Lepisosteus oculatus: one gene and its partners. The protein of the gene in region 3 interacts with the protein of the main gene of each other region in a pairwise test. Links are inferred from orthologs where the notes say so. Each region holds a gene or a part of one and is shown on either strand. Other genes may lie near its edges. The genes, in order: crtc1b, pogzb and creb1b.

Region 1 (7,311 bases), on a different chromosome or scaffold from region 3:
CACTCCTTCGCTCTGATCAGTGCCAACAAATATTAGAGACTTCTGCCAAGTACTGGGGAACAGTTTGTAAGATTTCTCTTGGCACTCACCTGCACAGCATCGAACACTAGACACAAACAAAAACCCAGCAGCTCACCGACATACAGTGGATCCTGACAACTGCGTATAAGAATTAATCAACAGTCTTCAGATGGCTTTGGTTCTTTAAATTTATGGAAAAACCCAACGTTTACCAAACGGATGCAACTCTAAAAAAGCCGGGTGCATAAATACACTGACTCCAGCATCTCCGAAACAGATCTAATGGGCCAAGTCATTTTCAGGGCTCGTGCCTCTTGAGGTAAGGAAGATGGGGACGGCTGCCAGGGAAACTGCTTAAAGCTAAGGACAGGAATCATGGCCCATAGACGGAGGACACCGGGGTGCCTGAATTTATTTATGATCGCCCAGTAAAGTACCAGCTTCCGTTGGGCTGACAAAGGAATTAAATAAAACATGGCGTTTAGGAAATCAACAAAGAGGCTTTACTTCATTTTAATTTATAATCCGCCATCAGAACTGGGACAACAGACAGAGCTCAGGAGCACAGCCTACTAAGTAATTGATATAACGGTGTAATCGCTGCAAGTGAAAACAGGATATTTTTAAAAGCTTATATACAGTGTACTCCTATAACAATTCATTATGACAGAACGTTTTTTTTAAAAGTTAAGCTGATCTTCTCATTTTCCCCAATAACACTCGACAGTTTACAAGAACCACTTGAGGCAAATTAACAGCAGTTTATTTTTAATCATCTTTTCCTTTTATGTCAGCTTTTGCCAGTTGGGTATCTGGACAAAACGTCTGGTGTCTGCATCAGTTGGCATAATTCTGTGATATTATAATGTTAGAAAACAAACATGCAAACAGTATGATGAGTAAGGTATGTCTCAAGTGACTGCTGAACACAAACTGAGACGTACACAAAACAAGGGAAAGTCTGCTTCTATCAAGCCTGTTTAAAACGGATTTCAGGAACTTTTACAGTTACCGAAGTTAAATTTTACTAAAAATACATGTAAGAACTGAACAATAATGATAACGTGCCCTTTTGATCAAGCACACTCAGTCCCCAAGTGTATGGTCAGAGGATGTAGAGCACTTTTGATGAACATCAGATACCAGGCAGCAAGATCAAGATCAGTGTCAAATCTTGCTAGTCAAGTTCTTCCGTTGAAACATGTTTATTATGGAGACTGTGCATAAACATCATGCGCTGCATTGACAAATACTATTACCCTACCCTAAAGCAGACACTTATTGTAGAGTATATTTGAATTTTGGGTTTTAAATAGACACCCTAACAAGTCTGTTGATAAAGATGCGCGGTGCTTTTACGCACAGCCTGTGTGAGAGGCGCTTCCTCCTGATTCCCGGAGCGGACAGGCGCTGGCGATGGCTACAGCGGCAACAGGGACACTGGCATGCGTTTCCAGCGCTGAACGTGCGACGCAGTTCGCCTATCTGTACGAATAACAGCGCCAGATGTTTCCCAACACGGGTGGAAAAAAAAAATCCCGAACTCTGGTGATCGATGAACGCGAAGGCCATAACTGAAGTAGGTCAGGGAGTGTGTGTGTGCGTGCGTGTGTGTGTGTGCTGTATGCACGAGAATTGCGGTATTAGGCAAAATAAATCACATCTGGAAAGGTTGCCGGGGGGTTGCAAATGCCTTCCGTGACAATCAGATTAGAAGACCGCTCTGACAGCAACGCATCGGAACAAGTTGGCTGCATGTGAGGTGATGCCTCATCTCCCCCCGGACAGCACCGAAACAGTCATCTGTGAGGCTGCCCACACGACCCGGCACCTGCCCACGAACACGTCCCCCCGTTACCCCAACAACAACAACCCCCCCCCCCCAAAAAAAAAAGCCCGCCCCTTTTGAACACCGTGCAATTTCTTTAATGCAGCAAAAACACGAGAAGGGGTTCGGCGGCTCCGCCGGACAGCTGATGCTCTCTTTCCCCAAAGCTACACGTCTGTACCGGCGTGAGCGCCCTACCGCACCTCGGGCGAAGTCCAGGGCCGGACTTCGCAGTCAATCTGTGCAGAAATGAAAAACGCCCGTGCAAATTACACATAAACTCCCCACCGCCCGTGCCCCGGCGTCAGTATAGTACGGTAACTTGAAATGCTTCGGCCCTGAAATTAATTTCCAATTTTCCGCTCACCTCGGTGAACACATTTTTATCTGATTTACTGAGTTCAGCGCGAACACCCACCCTCCCCGCTGCCAACTCGCTCCCGCTGACAGCTGTGGGCGCGATTTACTCACAGAAACGGGAAGTGGGAATCTGCCTTGGCGGGGTGCACCGCCTGCCCGGCCACCTTCAGACTTTCCCTCTCCCCACGCCTGCTTAGCGACCCGGGGGTCCGGGCTGTCCTCGCCATGCACACCTCCAGCCTCAGCCTCAGCCTCAGCCGATACCGTTTCACGCTGCAGCCTGGGGACCGGGGGGGACATGCATGCTCTTCCACAGGGTGGAGAGGGGGGGACGGCGCGTTTAGTCGACCGCCGCGGAGAGTCCGAACACAACGCACCGACAACACAAGTTACACATGAACAGCGAACTGTCATCACTTGCAGTGCCGTCTTGGCGATTGATGCAACTTTCCTCGGTGAGACCGAACCAGAAACCCCGGGGTTTTGGGGGAGAGAGTCGTGCACGGTGCACGGCGCGGATGCCGTCCATCAGCCGAATCGCCATCAATCTCGCCTATCGATTAGCGATTGCATTGATAGGGGGGTTTGTTATTGTTTACTTCCACGGCCAAGGTAACGGGGCTCGCCTTGCACGCTGCAGCCCAGGGACCACAACAAAACGACGCCGGGGCCCGCTTACCCGCGCCGCTCTGGTGATGCTCAGGTCCTTCATCACCTCCTCGAAAGCCGCAGTCTCCTCGGCCTGCTTCTGGTTATGTAAAGCGATTTTCTCGCTGAATTTCCGCGGATTGTTTGAGGTCGCCATCTTTCGCTCTTCTCCTCCTCTTTCCCTCAACGGGACGTAGCGTGCCCACGTCCCCGCGCGTAGGCGTCGTCATCACGCACACGACGCTGTGCCGCACATCGCCACCCCCGTCTGCTCTCGGCTCAGTGGTGTGGGATGGGTAAATTTAACCTGAACTAGTTTTTATATATTTTTATATGCATGGAATATATGTGCTAGATGGACCGAATTACCTCCTTTGTAACCTTGTTTTTTTTATAAATGTCGCAACCTTTCTACTCCGAGCTTAGCTTAGAACATTAACGAGAAGCCAGCAATATAAATACCTGAAACGTTGTTTTATTCATTCATTCCCAGTCCTTCAGAATCAAAAGACATGCCTGACTTTGACATTGGTTCTGTGTTGTTAATGGCTACATTAAGAGGATTGTTGAGTCATCTGGTACACATTACCATCTACTAAAGAGTTTGCCCATCCTGTAAAGTAGGATTCATAAATTTTGGTTATGTCATATTTATACTGTGTTCTTTTTCTTGTATTTGCAATGAACTAACACACATGATCACCATGTGAAACGAATACAAATATCACAGATAAATAATCCTGAACTAGAAATGGTCAGAATTCAACTACACTTGTGATGATTAAAATTAATCGAATCAAAATAAAACTATGATTTTAACTTTTTATTTACTGATGAAACGGCAAAGTAAAATAGGCATAGTTTATTCTTTCGTCTTTTCTTTGAGTTTACAATTGCACCTTTTTAGAACTATTTACATTGTGTCAACAAACATGGCAGGTTAAATCCAAAAATAAATTCAATTAGTCAAATCTATGTTAGTTTGGCCATTACAGAAAAATAAAAAAATGGTCTTCACAGAAATATTTCTTGTTCTAATCTGGAATAAAAAACATCCCACTGACAAAATGCAACATGAAACCAAAGCCATCTCGTTCTTTCAGGCCACTGTCAACATCTGTTGCCACTCTCGGATGAACTTGACAGGGCTTAAGGATGTTGTGACTTGAGGATTAATCTAGTTATGGAGTGCGAGAGAGACATCTGGCTCTCAGATCTACACAGATAGAGGCTCCATCGGCCCCCAACATTATTGGCATGTAGAGAGAGGACAGCACGCTGGGCAGTAGTTAGCATTGCTGCCTCGCAGCACTGAGGTCCTGGGTTCTAATTTCTCCTCATTTGCGTGGTGCTGCGGTTTCCTCCCAGCCAAAGGCATGCTGGTAGGTTAATTGGCCTCTGGGGAAGCTGGCCCTGGTGTGAGTGTGACTGTGTGCCCTGTGATGGACTGGCGTCCAGGGTGTGTCCTGCCTTGTGCCTGTTGCTTTCTGGGATTGTCTCCTTGATGACCTGCTTTGAAAGGGGATGGATGGTCTGCAGAGACAAATGAACAGGGAGGAGGAAACGGTGTAAGCTGGACACTCTTATTTTAGCTGGAAGCTCTGAAGTTATTAACATCTTGTGTTGAGTCGCCCGCAGTTACCTAAAAACTCAGAGCCAGAGCTTCTGTGAAGCGTACAAGGACAAATGAGATATTTAACCTTGGAGTTTGAGCTACAGGCAATAAAGGCAGAAACAACAATACCTCTGCTGTTGAACCTGCTGTTGGCCCTGGTATAGACTCAACTGTAAAGTAACCAAGGAAACCGCTGGGTGGGGAGAGGGGGCTGAGAGAGGGATGTGGGAAGCTGTGCAGAAGGCTCTTGGCTGCAAAAAAACCTTGAAGTCCTGTCTTTGTCCAGCGCTTGAAAAGGAAAAAGTGCAGAATAATCACGTCTCCCTGTCTGGCAAGCCTCATGAATGCTGGCTTCTATTAATGTCCTCTTCAGCTCTAATAAATACACTCAACTGCTGCAGATGACCTTACCAGCACACAGAAGATTTCATTCTCACAGGGAAGAACAGGAGTGGTTGAGGTGGAAGCCACTCTTCCAGGGTGACATGTGCAAAAGCCAACTTTCCCTGAAAAAAGCAAAACGGATTCTCTAGGAAAGAATCAGCCCCTGAAAGCAACAGCAGACTTTAATCTAAAGAAAGGAGTGACACCATCTTGTTATTGGCTGACATGTCTTCCTGTATAAGGCTCCATTGTTTTACTCATCTTAGGATCTTCCTTGCAAAGCTACGTACTGTAACTCCTTCAGCATGAATAACATGTTCAAAGAGTTCGAAGAGTTGAATTGGATAAAGCAGTTCTGGGAATGATAAACCAAAACTCTTTCTCCCCTTGGCTTGTGCACACACATTTACTGGCTGTGTGTAAGATTTTTCAGATGCTACAGTACTTTAATGGAATAGTGGTCTACTCTAGAATGATGGACAGACATCTTGCACATTAACCTCCTGTGGGGTTAGGATCATGAACAAAGATGACTCACTTCCACTCTTCATGTAGGGATAACACCTGCATGAAATCATTAAGCACATACTGTAGGAACAAAGGAAACACATGAACAAGGCAGAACATGGAAATCCCTAGTACACCCAGGACTGGGACATCAAGGCACCTGCACAGTTTGTGGAAGATCATTTTGAAAACACATGTGACAGGGTTGGGGTTCTACTAGGGGAGAAAGGTTTCTGTTTTCATTGCAATCTATTTGTCTTGCACCAAGAACACTTTTAAGCAAACTCTCAACTTCCTAAGCTATGAATGTAATTTATATTTATTACTAGATTTAATTTCTTTTTCTGTCCATTTTTATTTACATTATGTACCGCATGTTTCCTAATCTGACGTTTTGTCCTATAAATGCCATTTTGTTTAAGATGGAATGACATGAAAATTTGGAAAGCGCAGATTGTTCTCTTGCATAATTGAAAAGCAGGTCTGATCTCTCGAGCCCAAGAGTTGAAAACAAGGTCATAACTAACTCATGTGCAGATTACCCTGCAAGTAAAAGACCAATGCACTAAATCTCTCTTTATTCATTTCAGTTTTCACCCCACATGTCTTTTTTTTGTGATCCAATGTTACGCTTTTTGCACTCATGTATTATTTAATAATATCAGCTGTAGAATCTTTTATTTTTGGTGATACCATCAGCTGCCTTGCCTACTTTTATAATGTGCTGCATATATCAAAAACGTTTGCCTGTTGATATGAGTTTATAGTTAGATGAGCAAATGCTATCACTCTGTTTATTTAAGAAGTCCCCTGGAAAGGATTTTTCAAAGAAGATTATTTTGAATTCTACAGAGAATGATTTATAATGTACTATTTTCTAGAAAGTCACAAAGGATTCCATTCAGTGCTTTAGTTATATATTTCCTCCCTTAGTTCCCTTAGTTAGGTGTCTTTTTTCCTAGAATATTTATCTTTAAGCTAATCAATAATTAGTGACAACAGGAAGATTCATACCTAACAGATGCAAGATCACCTCTATTAAACATAAAATATTAATCACTTTAAAAAACTCTCAAACAAATGGTCAAAAGAGACTATTTAAATGAATATTGCATAAGATTTATAAGTAATATAACTACATTTCTGTATTTTTCTTTGCAAAAAAAAAGCACCAAAGTAAATTTCATGTACTGCAGCATGCACGTTTTCTGGCAATGGCCAGTACTGGGATAAAAGGAGAATAATGTAAATAAGTTTTCCTTTTTGACATCACATGTGACCATGTTGCCATCTGTCTCACAGCAAGTGACCAAGGAACACCAGTAAAGCATTTTATTCTTTTTTAAATGAGAAATGCTATTTAGTGCCAAGGGTGCTGCATGGATGTTGCAGCCGCACTCAGAAGAGTTTGCTATAGCTGAATTCTTGGCTCACAGCCCATTGCACACATCGTGAAGCTCTAGTGAAACATTGCTTTGTAAAAGCAGTAGGGTTCAAGTCAGGCCTTTGACTGTGCCGGTCAAGAACATTCTTTTGCAATTAGATCAAAAAGTTTCCATTTTATTTTGGCAAACATTTTGCCACGTTTGAAATCTTACATTTGTTTTCAGACCTATACACACGCTTTTTTGGAGTGATCAGAACACTGATGACCCACGGACGTTTTCTCCCATCTCAGCCACTGAGCTCTGTATCTCTCACCTCTTCCTTCAGGCTGCGTCTGTGTGCTTTCCACTCCTTAACGGCCACCTTCACCGTGCTCAACGAGATATCAAGGCTCTTTGAAATGTTACCTTTCTCCTGAACTGTATCTTTATATAACTTTATCGCTCAGCTGTTCTGAAAGCGCCATGGTTTTCGTGTTTGAATCTTTGCGGGAAAGTTTCTACCTGAGTGAAAGACCTTTCAGAGACAGGTATATTTGTTCTGAAATCAAGCCAACCACTAT
Region 2 (7,216 bases), on a different chromosome or scaffold from region 3:
CCCTCCCTTCGCTCTCCTCCCCCGATCTTCTGCACGGTGGGGCTGCCGGTGCAGAACGGCCCACCTGGAGAGAATCCCCACCCGTACGCGGATCTCGTAGGGATCCGACATAGAAGCAGCCGCCATTATCTCAGTGGGCTTCCAATAAGCGATCACGAGGCGCAGTGCCTTTGCAATTCCGCACGCGCTCTCTGTAAAAGATGAAGCGCGGTGCCTGGCAGTTTCAACCTCCCATCTGTCGAGCTACGAGGTTTGTTTTTTTAATTGAATACATAAAAAACTGAAGGGGGAGCTAAAGGGGTCTGATGTATGATGGGGACAATTGTCATCAATTATCTCAACCGCAGTCTCCTCCCTTATCTTCAAGGCTGCACTGCAGAAGCAAAATGCATTTAACAATACGAGCCGCGCACATAACCGTTTAAAATCACACCCACTCCATTGACTCATCACTGTGAAAACCTGTTTGGCAAAGAGATCCTTGCAGAGTGACTCTTTGTAGAAGGACTCGGATTATTCCACTTCTTCTATGGGGGGGGGGGGGGTTCTACGCCGGGAGATACCATTCAAGCAGAGTTCTAGAAACCTGCTCGAAAAGACCGGCTTGAGAGAACACACAAACGTACAAAATGTAACTCGCACCACAGTAATAATAATAATAATAATAATAATAATAATAATAATAACTTACACTTATATGGACACTCCACTCAAAGCGCTTTACAGGTAATGGGGACTCCCCTCCACCACCACCAATGTGCAGCCCCACCTGGATGATGTGACGGCAGCCATAGTGCGCCAGAACGCTCACCACACATCAGCTATCAGCTGTATAGCTTGTTCCACACTCCCATGAAGTCGCCACTGCTAAATGGTGTTCAGTTTTCCCGTAAGACGAAATCAGAATTGGTAAAGCTTATGATGAGTGTTGTTGATCAGCCACATTCACCCCTGTTGTTGCTGCTGCTGCTGTCGTTGAGTTGAGATATTCCTCAGCCCAGCCTGTCCGTGCTCCTCCGCCAGGTGACCATCCGGGCGTACGCCGTGCAGACCAAGGTGGCCGGTGCGCCCAAGAACGCCCCCGCGCTGCCGCCCCCGGCCCAGCCCCTGGAGGCGGAAAGCCTGCCCCCCAAGCCCGCCGACCCCCCCTCGGGGCTGAGCCCCGCGCAGAAACCCGCCGCCAAGAAGAAGACCGTCAGTAAGATGCTGGAGCTGCTGTCCAAGTTCCAGGAGCAGAGGTGCGGGGGGGTATCTTGGGGGTATGTTGTGGACAAGACAGGAGTGCAGCGTCCCCCAGTACACAGCCGACTCCTGTGGTCTCCAGCTCGGCTGAGGCATTGATCTTGGGTCAGGATTTACCACCACCACCCTGTAAACTGTCCTGGCGAACAGTCACGCCGTCCCTGAGCTGTGAGAGGTCGATCCTTGGAAACGTGCGGAAGACCGTATCCCTCCGGCCTACCAGTCCAGCCCAGGAGGAGGGGGGGACACGGCGCCCTTCTCTATGGGCTGGACCTCGCTGCCGGCGACGGCAGCCATAGTGCGCCAGAACGCTCACCACACATCAGCTATCAGTGGGGAGGAGAGCAGAGTAATGTAGCCAATTCATAGATGGGGATTATTAGGAGGCCATGATTGGTGAGGGCCAATGGGAAATTTGGCCAGGATGCCAGAGTTACACCCCTACTCTTTTCGAGAAACTCCCTGGCATTTTTAATGACCACAGAGAGTCAGGACCTCGGTTTTACGTCTCATCCGAAGGATGGCGCCTGTTTACAGTATAGTGTCCCCGTCACTATACTGGGGCATTAGGACCCACACAGACTGCAGGGTGAGCGCCCCCTGCTGGCCCCACTAAAAACTCTTCCAGCAGCAGCCTTAGTTTTTCCCAGGAGGTCTCCCATCTAGGTACTGACCAGGCTCACACCCGCTTAGCTTCAGTGGGTTACCAGTTGTGAGTTGCAGGGTGATATGGCTGCTGGCCTGTTTTATTTATAATATACCAACCAAATGAATTAATTGTCTTCGGACTTCTACAACCGAAGTGATGTAAAAGCAAATATTTCCCACCCTGGGGTGCACAATCCGGCAAAATGAAAAATCACATACATAACACTCCAGTTCTCCTCCCATCCTCGGGCTCGGAGCGAGTTTGGTTCTGAAATTGTGAGCCAAATAAAAAAAACCTGTACCGAACACCGTGCGTTATAAAAACGCCCGCCCGTTTCACTCTGTCACCGGTGACGTCAGAGTGACGTCGAGACCTCGCAGAAAGTTGACCTCACGACATGAAGGGCCGTTTACGTCATACGCGCAGCAGCCTATCAGAACGCAGCGTCCATCTTCACCCTGCACACTTGCACTGAGGGCTTTTTAAAAACAATAAACGAAACAATGACGTGATAAACCCGCAAGGCAAAAACTGTCCTGCACTCACAGCGCTGGTGCGAGTCACATTATACGCTACACATTGTAGTCCAATATCGCGCCGCATTTCCAGGCTTCTCCTGCACAGCGAGCAATTAAAGTAGCACCCAGCACGCAGGCGGCCAGCGGGGGCGGAGAGACCCAGCAGCTCCCTCCTCAGCCCGGACAGCCCGTCCAACATGGCCGACGCGTCGCCGCGCACACACGCCAGCCTGCCGTCTCCCCCGCGAAACCGGGGGCAGCCGCCTTTAAAGGAACCCCGGGTCCCCCCCCCCCTCTCCCAGACACGCACACGCCAGCGTGCCCGTGGGCTCCGGGGCTGGGGCGCTCGCCGGTCGGGATGGGGGGAGACGGGTCCCCCCGGCAGGACAATGAGCCGCGCGCTCCGACGCCACCAGAGGGAACAATACCCGCCACACAATCACAACAAACTCACCTCGCGTACGTCTGTCCTCCTTCCCCGGTGGGCGACGGAAAATTTAAAAAAAAAATGAAGGAAAAAAAAATTAAAATTCTGAGGAAGCTTCGGGGATTCGCCCACCCGGTGAAAACAAATAAGCCCGATCTGGGGGCAGGCAGGCAGGCGATTTTTTTTTTTCCTCACTCCTCTCTTTTTTTTTGTCGCTCGGCGCTGGTGAGGCCAACGTCACTTCCTCCCTGCCAGCCCGCGGCTCTTATTGGAGGAGAGCGCCGCGAAAGGGGCGGGGGCGGGGTGACGTCACCGAGGCCCTGCCGAATAAAATCCGCCCCGAGCAGAATCTCTCGAAGTAGTTCCTTTTATTGTGGCTCGCGCGGGTCTTTTTGTGTCCATTTTGGGGGAGGAATAAAATAATACATCACATAGTAAGGTGTAAACACTTCCCTCAATTGGACTGATATAAATTTTGAGAACCTACACTTTTAAAAGTCTCAATAAAAGCACCAATTTTGCTTTGGGGGGGCCCTATGCTTTCCACTAAGTGCGTCCATTTTGTGAGGTATTTTGAAAGAAATGATACATGATACACCATTTTAGTATGCGGCAAAACATGAGTCAAGAAAAAGAAACGCAATCAGATATTACATCTATCAAGATATCACATCTTGAATACTCAACGGGGAACACAGTGGAGGTCTTGATCCACCAAATAAAATTTCCCCCTTGGCCACACACATCACACTCCGCCCTATCCAGGCGATGAATATTTATTAAATAACCATACACGAATAATATAAAATCCACAGTATCACATATCATTTTTAATTGGGTGTAAAATACAGTAAATGTAGCCACAGAAAACAAGATGGCGGCCAAACTTGGCCAAGGTGATACTTCAGAAAGGTTTCCATTTAAGAAACGACGATTATTTCCCTTTACTAAAATCGCTCAACAATAAGTGGTAGGCCTTATGAAACAAGAAAGTCTATATAACAATAAAGTCTCACAAAATCCTGTTTCTAAGAAGAGAAATATTGAGTTATATTGCCAACGTAAACGACGGAGGAGCAACGATTTTGCACAGAACAATGGTTTGGCCGACAGGAACGGCTTCATCCACAAGCAAAATGCGCGAACTGCGTCAAACGGTGTCCTTTCTATTGCAGCAATACTTTCTAAACTGTAACGACAGTTTTGTTAATCAAATACGCCAGTGGTTCCTCCGAAATGTTAACATTTTTAGAGACAGGAGAGTACAAACAGATGTACCTTTGCAACAGCTGTGATCGTATGGGTCGAGTGTACGTTATTTCATCATTTATAGGACGTATTTTACTGCGTCGTCGGGGTGACAAAATAAACATTATGCTGCACACCTTCACGGGGAAATATTTAAACAGTGATTTTGAAAATCAATAAAACTGCTACGTAAAAACTGAAAGGAGAATAAGTCTACACACCAAAATGCGTTATCCAACGGCTCGCTGGCGCAGGACCACCCCAGTTGCCCCAAACCAACACGAGAGTATTTGGCATATTCTTGTCAGCGGGCATCCCAACGAAGGCCTTCAGGAAAAAAAAAACATTGTGGTAGTTATTTTGTTTTCATTTTAGATTCGATCTTTTTGTTTTTTTATTGAGTTGTGAAAGCTCAGCAGCTGTGGGAATTGAATTGTTTTAAAACAGGCGCGATTTTGTTTTAAAAAAATCATGTATGGAATGTAAACCCATGCTTTTATAGCACGTTAGCACAAACCGCCCATGTGAGTGTGCGGTCAGGCACTGTGTTAATGGGAGGATGGCGGTCTAAGCATCATTTCTGAGCCGCGAACAGCGGGACATCGCTCAGACGGGCTCGGCGGTTCTCATTCTTATCTGACCTACATACAACGCCGTAGTTCGCCCCGATACAACTCCTGCGATCGTGAAAAATGCGAGGTTTGCAGCGCTCAAATTAATTCTTCCAATTTTCCTTTCTGGGTTCAACACAGATTATTCCAGAATGTCTGGAGGATGTCCACGTGCGTCCAAGATCTGGGTTTAACGGTGAAAAAGATATGTCGCTGAACTAGAGAATAAATTACCTCTGTCATAACGTGTTAATTTTGGCATACCTGGCCGTGTTTTAAACCCTTTAAAATAAGAACTCTCGTTCTATTTTTTGAAATGGATTATTTGGGGCCTGCTTAGGTATTTATTTTTTGTGGCTGTTCTCTGCGCAAACACCCACATTCGAGACAAAACCCCCCTAAGAAGTGGCTCTGGCTGCCCCAGTCACCGCGCAGAGCAGAGCTGCACTGTTGGCAGTAATCGGTCTTAACAGAGGATTCAGAGAGCCGGGGCAAATAACGCAACGAGTGTTCCTGCGCTCGAATTAGTCATTAATCTACTATGGAAGCCTCTAATCAGGTCTGATTTAGCTCGCTTAGGACTATTCATAGCCGCGCTGCTCGGAGAGCTCAGAAACGGGTCGCGTTCTCAAGGCCGACGGAAACCCAGGGGGCAATTTCCTTCCACAGACCCCCTCTTTCTCCTTATCCCCCCTCACCCCAGCTGGTGCCAGGTACCCCGAGGGAGCGACGCCCCCTTCTTCTTGGGAGACATGTGGGACCAGGGGCAGTGGTTCAGTCTACTGACCAGGTGCGGGGCGGTGACCGTCGTGACTGCGATCAGTAAGTCCCCCGTCTGACCGGCTGCCGTTTACACGCAGGATGGCTCGTCTCGAACCTCGCGTCCCGGGGCGTAAATATCACAAGGATTTGGTTCTGGGGGGGATACGAAATCAACGTGATTTTCATTCGTTCTTTGATCAATAAATCATGAAGGAATACTGGTTTTACGCGCTAGAGGCAGCTGAAAAGGTCGGCTTTAGGGCACAGGCCTTTTAATTTGAAAAAAAAATCTTAGTGATGTACAGTAGCACACCATACTCTGGTAGTAACTTCTATTCTAAAATGGGTCATCCGAAAGTTTGTAGGCCGGCCCCGTTTTAAAGACTCGCTTGTGCGTGCCGTGTCCGTGCTCCTGTAGCGTTTCCAGTCGTCATCATCATATTTAGTCGTCATCTTCAAGTTTCACCTCCAGAAGAAAAGGCATCTGCAGGGCACAGTGCAAAGGTCACCTAATAGAGTTCAATAAATCCTGAACTAAGCCAACAGGTTGCCTGTTGAGAATCTTTGCCGCACTCTGTGGTACTGAAAGGATATTTCAAGATACTTGGAACACAGCCTAGATATATAGGAATTGAAAACAGTTAAAATGCAATTTAAGGGTACAAAATAATTCTGTTTTGGGGGTCTACTAAGGGTTAAATTATTTACATTACTCAAGCTAAATTATTTAACTTAAGGGGAACAGAAACCAGTAGGTTTGGGGGTCCCCTGGACCCCAGAACCGGTCCTGGAACACCTGATATAGGTGGATTCCCATTATACTTGGGAGTATGTGTGAATGCGTTGGGAGATACACACAAATATGTCCGTGAACTATTTTAAAAGGGTGTTTTATATAAAGGAGAAGCCCTGAGTCATTGTCTAAGGACCTGGCTCACCCGAGTGTTTCTATACCAGGTTTCTGAGGCATCAGTCTCTCCTAGACGGAATTCCAAAATAATAATTCCTAACGGACCAGTGCTTCTCAAGCAGGGTCTGGGAATTCCTGCCTTTTATTCCAGCAGGGTTCCTTCTTAATTACACGTGTTCGAGCCAGAATTGAACGCTTGGCTGTTCGGAGAAAAAACAGCTCCGGCCTCTGGACAGTAAGAGAGATTGAGACGTCATCTTCCACCCCTTGGCCAGGAGCTGGGATTCAGAATTCCTCTCGGCTGTGACAGTGGTTTCAAGGGGAAGTGTAATCAGTGGTGCTAGACAGTGTGAAATTCTATAATCCGAGTGCCTGTCACAGTGTCATTGCCGTCTGCGTGGATGTGTCGCTCACTGACGGACAATGAGGTGTTCAGAAATCTTATTGGATGTGACAGCGACTATTTTACACCCAGATGAAATAGAGATTGTGTTCGCAAAGCACCCTGGTAAAAATACACATAAAGGAGCTGGTTGTTGAGCAAGCAGGAGGAGTGGCAGAGAGTCTGGATTGCAAACTGATAGGTTTGGGACCAGTCCTTGGCAGATCTGTCTCTTTGAGAGAGGGACATCATTCAGATTGCTTCAGTAAAATGCCTGTGTAAATGGCTCCAACTGGAAGAAAAATACATTAACAGTGCTGATTACTTCCAAAGCTGAGACCTTAGTACAGTATGAAAACCAAACAGCCCGTGTGATTAAGGATTTCATAATCCCGGCCAATTAGCAGTAGATGTGGAACAAAATCCCAAAGACACAGAGATTGCAGCCAGGTCACTTGGTTAATACT
Region 3 (7,824 bases):
GGGGGGGTCTTATTTTTCGCAGGCAAGCCTGAGCTGGAGCCGCCTCTCTCCAGCAGAGGAGCCAGGTGCCAAAGGTGCAGCTGTCACCCCTGCAGCGTGACTGTCACCTGTACCCCACCTCCAACCAGAACTGCACACAGGGAACTCAACACGAACTCCAGCCCTGCACTGTGACTGTCACCTGTACCCCATCTCCCACCAGAACTGCACACAGGGGACTCAACACGAACTCCAGCCCTGCACTGTGACTGTCACCTGTACCCCATCTCCCACCAGAACTGCACACAGGGGACTCAACACGAACTCCAGCCCTGCACTGTGACTGTCACCTGTACCCCATCTCCCACCAGAACTGCACACAGGGGACTCAACACGAACTCCAGCCCTGCACTGTGACTGTCACCTGTACCCCATCTCCCACCAGAACTGCACACAGGGGACTCAACACGAACTCCAGCCCTGCACTGTGACTGTCACCTGTACCCCACCTGCACACAACGTGTCGAACCCAATGAACTGGAGCCCCGTGGAAATAACCAGCCCCACTCGCATTTATAAACATGGCAAAGCAAAACATCAACAGGGAACGACAACAACAAAACTGGTCATTTCCCACTTGGGGAAGAAATCAAACCCGCTCCCAGCAGACAGATCTTTGTGGCTCCCTCTTGGCACACATGCACCTCTGTAATGCAGTACCTCTGCAGCCTGCTGCTTCCAGACCAAACCCCTCCTCCACATTCCTCCACCTCCCACAACATGCTGCTGAAGCGCTCCACATACTCCACCTATTCCTCATTCGCTCAGAAACAGGCTTAAAAGAAGTGACTCCTCTCTGTTAATTTATGTGTAGTTTTAACAGCTTCATTTAGAGCGTAAACTTACAGTTCTGTATATATATTTATTCCACACCGCTGCAGTGTGGGAGATGCTCATGTGCTTCAGTCCGATTCTTCAAAGTAACCACATCTGCTGCTTCACGGCTTCCCAGAGCAGACCAGGCAAAACCGCCAAGGAGCGGAGCTGCTTTTATTCACAAGCGCATTCATACCTCTTTCTGGAAACTAGCTGCAGCCTGTTGCACGCCCCCGCTACCCTCTGTGTAAAGACGTGTCTCCCGTTCACAGTTTTAAATGCCCTTGAGCCCTCTGGGAGGATGAAGGGAAACATATCGTGATGTGTTTTCTGTGTATAGAAAATTAAACTAAGCACATTTTTTTCCCCCACTGTATCCTCCTCTACCAAAGAGAAATATAAAAAACTGGACCTTCTAGCTTCAAAACAACTGGCCCTTTCATTTTTGTATGTTTTTTTTTGCCGATTTGAACAAATTTGATCCAAGTGTTTGGAAACAATTCCACGCGGAATTCCCCGCGAGGCTTCCGTGATAAAAATGTGATTGGCGTTTGCCCTCCCCAACACAAACACCCAAAACAAAGGAGCGCTCTGCGCCAGAACACTGCTCGGGAAATATTTCCTTGTTTCCCCCGGGGCAGGATCTCTGAACTCTGCGATCTGAGAAACCAGTTCACACCTGCCAGTGGGCTCTTCCACCCTGCAGTGTAGTTCATCATACAAGTGAAGCTCCTCTCCTGCTGCATGAAACCCGGATTTCGGAGCGCCGGTCTTCTTGGTGAGGGGGCCGGATTCTGCCAGAGACCCCGCCGCCGAGCCGGCTGCCCGGCGCCCAGGCCTGTTGACTGGGGGGGGGTCGCTGGGCCAGAAACGCCCCGGCGACTTTAAACGCACCGATCCTGCGGCCTGACCGCCCAGGTAGGGGGGCGTGAAGACGAGCCGGCAGGCTGAACGGGTCACACCCACTCCTCCCCACCGCGATTTAGGAAAATAAAATAAAACAGACCGAGGAAAGGCACTTGAGCTGGAACCGGGGGGCGCAGGCCGGGCCCGGATAGGCGCTAGGGACCCCCACACCACACAGGGGGACTTGATCGGCCCTCCTTCGGCCAGCTCGCTATTTTTATATATATATAGATCACAACCCGTCAGCTGTCTGCATTGATCTGGGCCCCGTTTTAACACACATGTACGACCCCCCCCCCAGCTTCCACGACGAGGGGGGAGGTGGGCTGCAGACACAAAGTTTTTCTTGTGCTCCCCATCTTCTTCGAAAACGCCGAGAAATCTTCGTTGCCACGGAGGCCACCCGCGATCGCATCCCTCGGGTGGGGGAGAAATAAAAGCCCCACACCGACACCGACACCAACACCAACACACACACACGCAGCCCGGCGACGTTGACACGGGTTCAGCACTTGTTGTTTTGTTTTTTTTTAATGTGTGTGTGCGTGCATATTTCTGTATTTCAAATTCAGCTGCACAGCCATAGTGGGGATCTTCCGAAACGGGGAGGAAAAAAAAACTGACACAAACGCAGCCTCTTCTACAGCAGGGGAAGATGAGGATTTTGTTTGGGGTTTTTTTTTTTTTAAAAAAGGGGGCAGCTACGTTTCTAATGCCAAAATAAACACCACCTCGGACCGTTATCTCCGCATCCTTATTTATTTCTGGTGCATCCCACTACCGTTTATTATTATTATGATTATGATGATGATTATTATTATTTTGTGCGCACAAACGCGCCACAAGCACACAGATGCGGAGGGCGCCTGCACGGTTGTCGCAACGGCTCCGGCGGGCAGGGCTGTCTCGGCGGGGGTGAAATAAGTTGTGCAAACACCCGCGCCGCTGTCGTCCTGGCCCGCTCCCTCCGTGTGGTCAGTCCGCAGACTCCCCTCCCTTCCCGCCCGCCTTGCCTCAGCTAGCTCGCCTGCGAGCCCCGCCAGCCGCCATGATTCTCTTTGTTTCCCCGGGGCCGAGGCCAGCGACACTCGCACCCGCTCCGGGACGCGTCCTGTCTCCCTCCACCCCCCAGGACACTTCTCCTCTCTTACCGGTACAGACTCCCTCCGTCACTCCCGGGCCCCCGGAGCTCCACTTTTATTCAGGCCGACACGTAAGAGACCGCGTCAGGCTACACCTCCGCCGCGTCACCGGGAAACAACAACACGGAGAACGAGGGAGACGAAAATTAGCTCAGCAAGCACCATCGGGTAGGGCCGAGCCGGCGCCGAAATATGCCGAAGCCGTGACGGAGTTTACCGAACGGCGTCCCGAGCCCTTTCGGAAATGCACGGGCAGAAGGGAACGGTGTGAGCTGCGCATGTGCGAGGGTAAGCTTTATTTAGTTGGGAAGGGTGTTGCGCTTTCAGTGGTGCTGGTGAACGCTGTTTCGTTGTGTTTAGTGCGTGTGTTACATCTAACGTCGAAAGCTGGTCTTATATTACGTGAGCGAATAAATGCACGCTGTCGAGTAGGATTTGTTATGTATGTGTTAAGGAAGTTTAGGGATGAAGGTGAGGGTGCTGTTAGTCGCGTCTCGGCGCTCTCGACTCTTATTAAATCAGGTTGGATTCTGGACCAGCCAGCGAATACCGTTATTACAGAGTAACATACATATATATATTCCTGACACATAATTCTCGTCAAGGTTTCGAGGTTACAGTTTATCACCCAGGCTTCTGTATGTGTGAAAGGCAGCTGAACACGGGATCTTAGGGCCATGTTGACGGACAGTAAATTTAGTGTCGCAACTGCCAAGCTCTTGGTTTCTATCTCGGCACCACGGCACAATAACATGACGATGCAACTGTATACAACTTGTCCAAAAGCGGGGTTAGGGTCACACGACAGCGTGTGTTTCTTCACTGCCTCAGCGAGATGAAAGCGCAGCGTGTCTGCCTGCAGACCGTGCCGGGCAGTTCGGGATTCAATTCTACTTGATTTGTCATTATACTTCCACGGGTGCGTAGTACAGTGAAAAGTGTTTCTCAGTCTCTCCCGGGTGGGGTATATAAATAGAACAGCAGACAAGACAATAGACAGTAACACGATCACAATAACAGTGTCATCATCCCGAGAGACAGCGGGCTTCAGGGTTTGAAGGAGACTCGCGTCTTGTTTTCTTCAAAACCTGAACCAAGGTAGAAGTTAGACCTCATGGCCCCCGCCGAGGAGGGGCGTGTGCCCGGAGTTGCATGGCACGCGAAGCCAGGCCCCCAGTTTTCATTTCAGCGCGCGGTGTCTATATCGATATGTCAGGGATTCACGTTCTGACAGACAGTGCGCTGTACTGCACGGGAGCCGCCAGCAGCATTGAGAACTGTGCCGCTCGTGAATACGGGGATATGAACCCGTGGAACCTCCGAGGTTATTTGATTTGATGTTGAGATGGGAATGCTGCGGAGACGGGTCTCTCCTGAAGACACGGGGAGCCCAGTGTTGTGAAGGCAAGAGTGCCACCTAGTGGCCTTCAGCGCCATCAGTACCCGGCCTGTCCGCTCCCTTAACTGGTGTTCATTACCAATTGTTGCCATGGGTGTGTTGAAAGATTTGAAAACCAGAATGAGGTGATTTGATTATCTTTAATTGGGAATAGGGAGGTTAAAAAGTAAACATGGTTCAAAATTATTAACTATCTTGACAGTGTCAGTGATGTTAATAACAGTAATTCTGTGTATTTGCAGTATATAGTACTTTTCATTCCAAGTGATCTCAAGAGTGCTTTACATCTAGTAGTGTACCCATTTCACCCACCACTGAAGTGTATCCCCACCTGGGAGACACAGCAGCCAGTCTGCAACAGTATCCCCACCTGGGAGACACAGCAGCCAGTCTGCACCAGTATTCCCACCTGGGAGACACACAGCAGCCAGTCTGCACCAGTATTCCCACCTGGGAGACACACAGCAGCCAGTCTGTACCAGTATTCCCACCTGGGAGACACACAGCAGCCAGTCTGTACCAGTATTCCCACCTGGGAGACACAGCAGCCAGTCTGCACCAGTATCCCCACCTGGGAGACACACAGCAGCCAGTCTGCACCAGTAGCCCCACCTGGGAGACACACAGCAGCCAGTCTGCACCAGTAGCCCCACCTGGGAGACACAGCAGCCAGTCTGCACCAGTATTCCCACCTGGGAGACACACAGCAGCCAGTCTGTACCAGTATCCCCACCTGGGAGACACACAACGCTGGAGTTACTGTATCAGCAGGTCAGAGGGAGAGGGAAACTGCTTCACCAGGTGAATTAACCTTTGGATGACCCGACTGTACAAGCCCAGTGTGGAATTTAACCCTATTAACACTGGGGTTAATAACCTTGTTCTTGCTAACAGCCCAGGGGATCTCTAATGACCCAAGTCATGAGGACCTCAGATTAAGGTTCCATCTGACAGACAGCACCTCCTACAGTGCAGTGTTTCCAGACACCATACTAGGATATTTATACAGGGACATTGTGATCTGGGGGAAAGGGTGAAATACTGGTGCAGCGGTTAGGTTTGCACTCCTGCCCCTGGCGTGAGTATGTGTGCCCTGCACTGGATTGGTGTCCTGTCCGGGGTGTATCCAGACTGGAGCCCGTTGCTTGCTGGGATAGGCTCTGGCTCCCCCTTATCCCTGTATTGAATAAAGCCGTTAAAAATGAATGTATGGAAAGATAATCCAGAGGGAAGAACACCACCTAGAGTCCCACCATTTATAACAGTATCCCCAGTATCCCCAGAGGTTTCCCATCCCGGTTCTGACCGGGCTCAGCTTCGCTTGGCTTCTGAGTTCAGGCAAGATCGGGTTACCGGGTTATGAAACTGCTCCCTAACGTACAGCGGTCATCTTCTAACTCAAAGATGACACGAGGGCGTTAGGACCATGTAGGATACTGTGTACAATTTCAGTCACGGCAGTATAAAACAATATTGCAGCCCTGGAGTCCATCCAGAAAAGAGCAACCTGATACATTCCAGGGATTAAACCAAGGTCCTGCATAAACAGGCTGAGGGAATTTATCCCTTGTTGTTCAAAATCCCCAAAGTCAGTGACAAAGTCAACCCAGCCAATTTCTTTGGCATGAAAAGCACAACACAAACCAGGGGGCCATAGTGGAAACTACGGGGTGGTGCATTTAAAACTGAGAACAGGAGGCACTTCTTTACCCAAAGAGTGGTGGGAGTGTGGAACAAGCCGCCCATCCATGTTCAATGCCGATGCCCCGGCTTCTTTCCAGGGGAGAGTGAGATCCTTCGATCAATTAGCCGCTAACCGCCAAACATTCTGGATGGGCCAGATGACCTCTACTTGTTTGTAACCTTTTCTTACATTCTTATGACGGTCTGGTCCAGTGGAAGAGCGCCTCCTACTGGCCCACCAGCATCTTGCAGCAATTATATGGAGCAATAAAGGAGTTAAGAGAGAAGGCAGTAATCTGGAAAGTCAGAGATGTCAGAGTGTTCATATCTGTTTGGAAACACAAAAGCACAATTTATTTATTTTTTATTTATTTTGTTTTATAACTATTCTGATGTCTGTTTTGCTTGTCTTGGGCTGGACTGCTGTAACACATCAATTTCCCTATGGGATTAATAAAGTATTATCTATCTTATCTATCTCTGCATTTTGTCAGCAGCATGTTGGATCTGGCCTGGTGTGTGGTCCTGTGTATCACTGCAGTGTAGCCTTTATCACAGTCTTCATCGGGTCAATTAGGACAGATCGCACTGGAGGGAGCAGCCAGTCATCAGCAATCACTAACAGCACTCTTGTACTGACTGGTTAGGTCACTTATGGCCAACCAGGAAACAGGTATTTCATCAGCAGCTTGTTTCTCATCCCTGGACTTTAACAACGGTAGTGTCACCTGCCATATCACCCTGCAACTCGCACCTGGCAGCCCACTGAAGCTCAGCAGTGTGAGCCTGGTCAGTACCTGGATGGGAGACTCCTGGATGGGAGGTTTGAGTTGCTGATTGAAGAGATGTTAGTGGGACCAGCAGGGGGCGCTCATGCTGCTGTCTGTGTGGGTCCTAATGCTCCAGTATAGTGATGGGGACACTATACTGTAAAAAAGGTGCTGTTTTTCAGATGAGATGTAAAACCGAGGTCCTGACTCTCTGTGGTCATTAAAAACCCCGGGGTGTTTCTCGAAAAGAGTAGAGGTGTTCGCCCTGGCGTCCTGGCCACATTCCCCCCTGGCCTTTACCAATCATGGCCTCCTAATAATCCCTATCTCTGGACTGACTTCATCACTCTGTTCTCCTCCCCACTGAGAGCTGGTGTATGGGGAGAGTACTGGTGAACTATGGCTGCTGTCGCATCATCCAAGTGGGGAGTCACACTGGTGGTGGTGGAGGGGATCCCCATTACCTGTAAAACGCTTTGAGTTGAGTGCCCAGGACAGTGCTATATAAGTGTAAGGAATTATTATTATTATTGACAACAACAAAACCGGCCGGACTGGTGTATGTTATTGGCCCCCTTCCCGCTCATTCTGGATTAAAAAAGAAACCAAAAAAACGTTTGGCCAGCAGATGGCAGCATGAACTCACGTTCTGTCTGCTTGGACTGCAAGGGCCGTTCCTGTCTGAACCGGGTGAGAGGTTCCCCAGAGCACAAACACGTGGCTGCTGGCCTGCACTGGCTGGATAAAGGACCTGTGTGACTGCAGCCCTCTCATGTGTGGAAGCCCTGAAGCTTCATTCTCGCCTGAGACTTCATTTTTGTTTTGTTTTGTTTTTTATTTTTATTTTTTTTCGTCTGCGACTTCATGACACTGCTGTTTTCAACACGTACTGTAAGCTGTGTGAAACAAGCCTCAGTCTAGTCCAGTCCTCTAGGCAACATTGTCGTGTTTTAAATAGAACCAGTGAAGTCCTGGCAGACAAACGGGCACAGTTTGCCCACTGAGGCAACGATGAGATGAGGGCTGGAACGAAAGAGAGTCAACCTCGCGGACCGAGTTTGCTCACCGC

Evidence for each region.
Region 1: the proteins of creb1b (region 3) and crtc1b interact in binary tests that used the Homo sapiens proteins (3 or more experiments, as listed by UniProt). The link is inferred for Lepisosteus oculatus from reciprocal best matches to the Homo sapiens genes CREB1 and CRTC1.
Region 2: the proteins of creb1b (region 3) and pogzb interact in a two-hybrid assay, tested with the Homo sapiens proteins (2 studies listed by BioGRID and IntAct). The link is inferred for Lepisosteus oculatus from reciprocal best matches to the Homo sapiens genes CREB1 and POGZ.

Annotation. Positions count from the first base shown.
Region 1 is NC_090724.1:2,621,943-2,629,253, forward strand, and holds the start of crtc1b (CREB-regulated transcription coactivator 1b), read right to left. Parts: upstream 3,091-7,311; 5' UTR 3,015-3,090; coding exon 2,889-3,014; intron 1-2,888. UniProt on the Homo sapiens protein: Transcriptional coactivator for CREB1 which activates transcription through both consensus and variant cAMP response element (CRE) sites.
Region 2 is NC_090722.1:3,869,172-3,876,387, reverse strand, and holds the start of pogzb (pogo transposable element with ZNF domain), read right to left. Parts: upstream 3,089-7,216; 5' UTR 2,869-3,088; coding exon of another isoform or gene 2,768-2,868; exon of another isoform or gene 2,765-2,767; intron 2,509-2,764; exon of another isoform or gene 2,438-2,508; intron 2,414-2,437; exon of another isoform or gene 2,110-2,413; intron 1-2,109. Other genes in the region: retinol dehydrogenase 13, read left to right, coding at 2,768-2,868, 5,399-5,517. UniProt on the Homo sapiens protein: Plays a role in mitotic cell cycle progression and is involved in kinetochore assembly and mitotic sister chromatid cohesion.
Region 3 is NC_090707.1:7,622,214-7,630,037, forward strand, and holds the start of creb1b (cyclic AMP-responsive element-binding protein 1b), read right to left. Parts: upstream 3,044-7,824; 5' UTR 2,913-3,043; intron 1-2,912.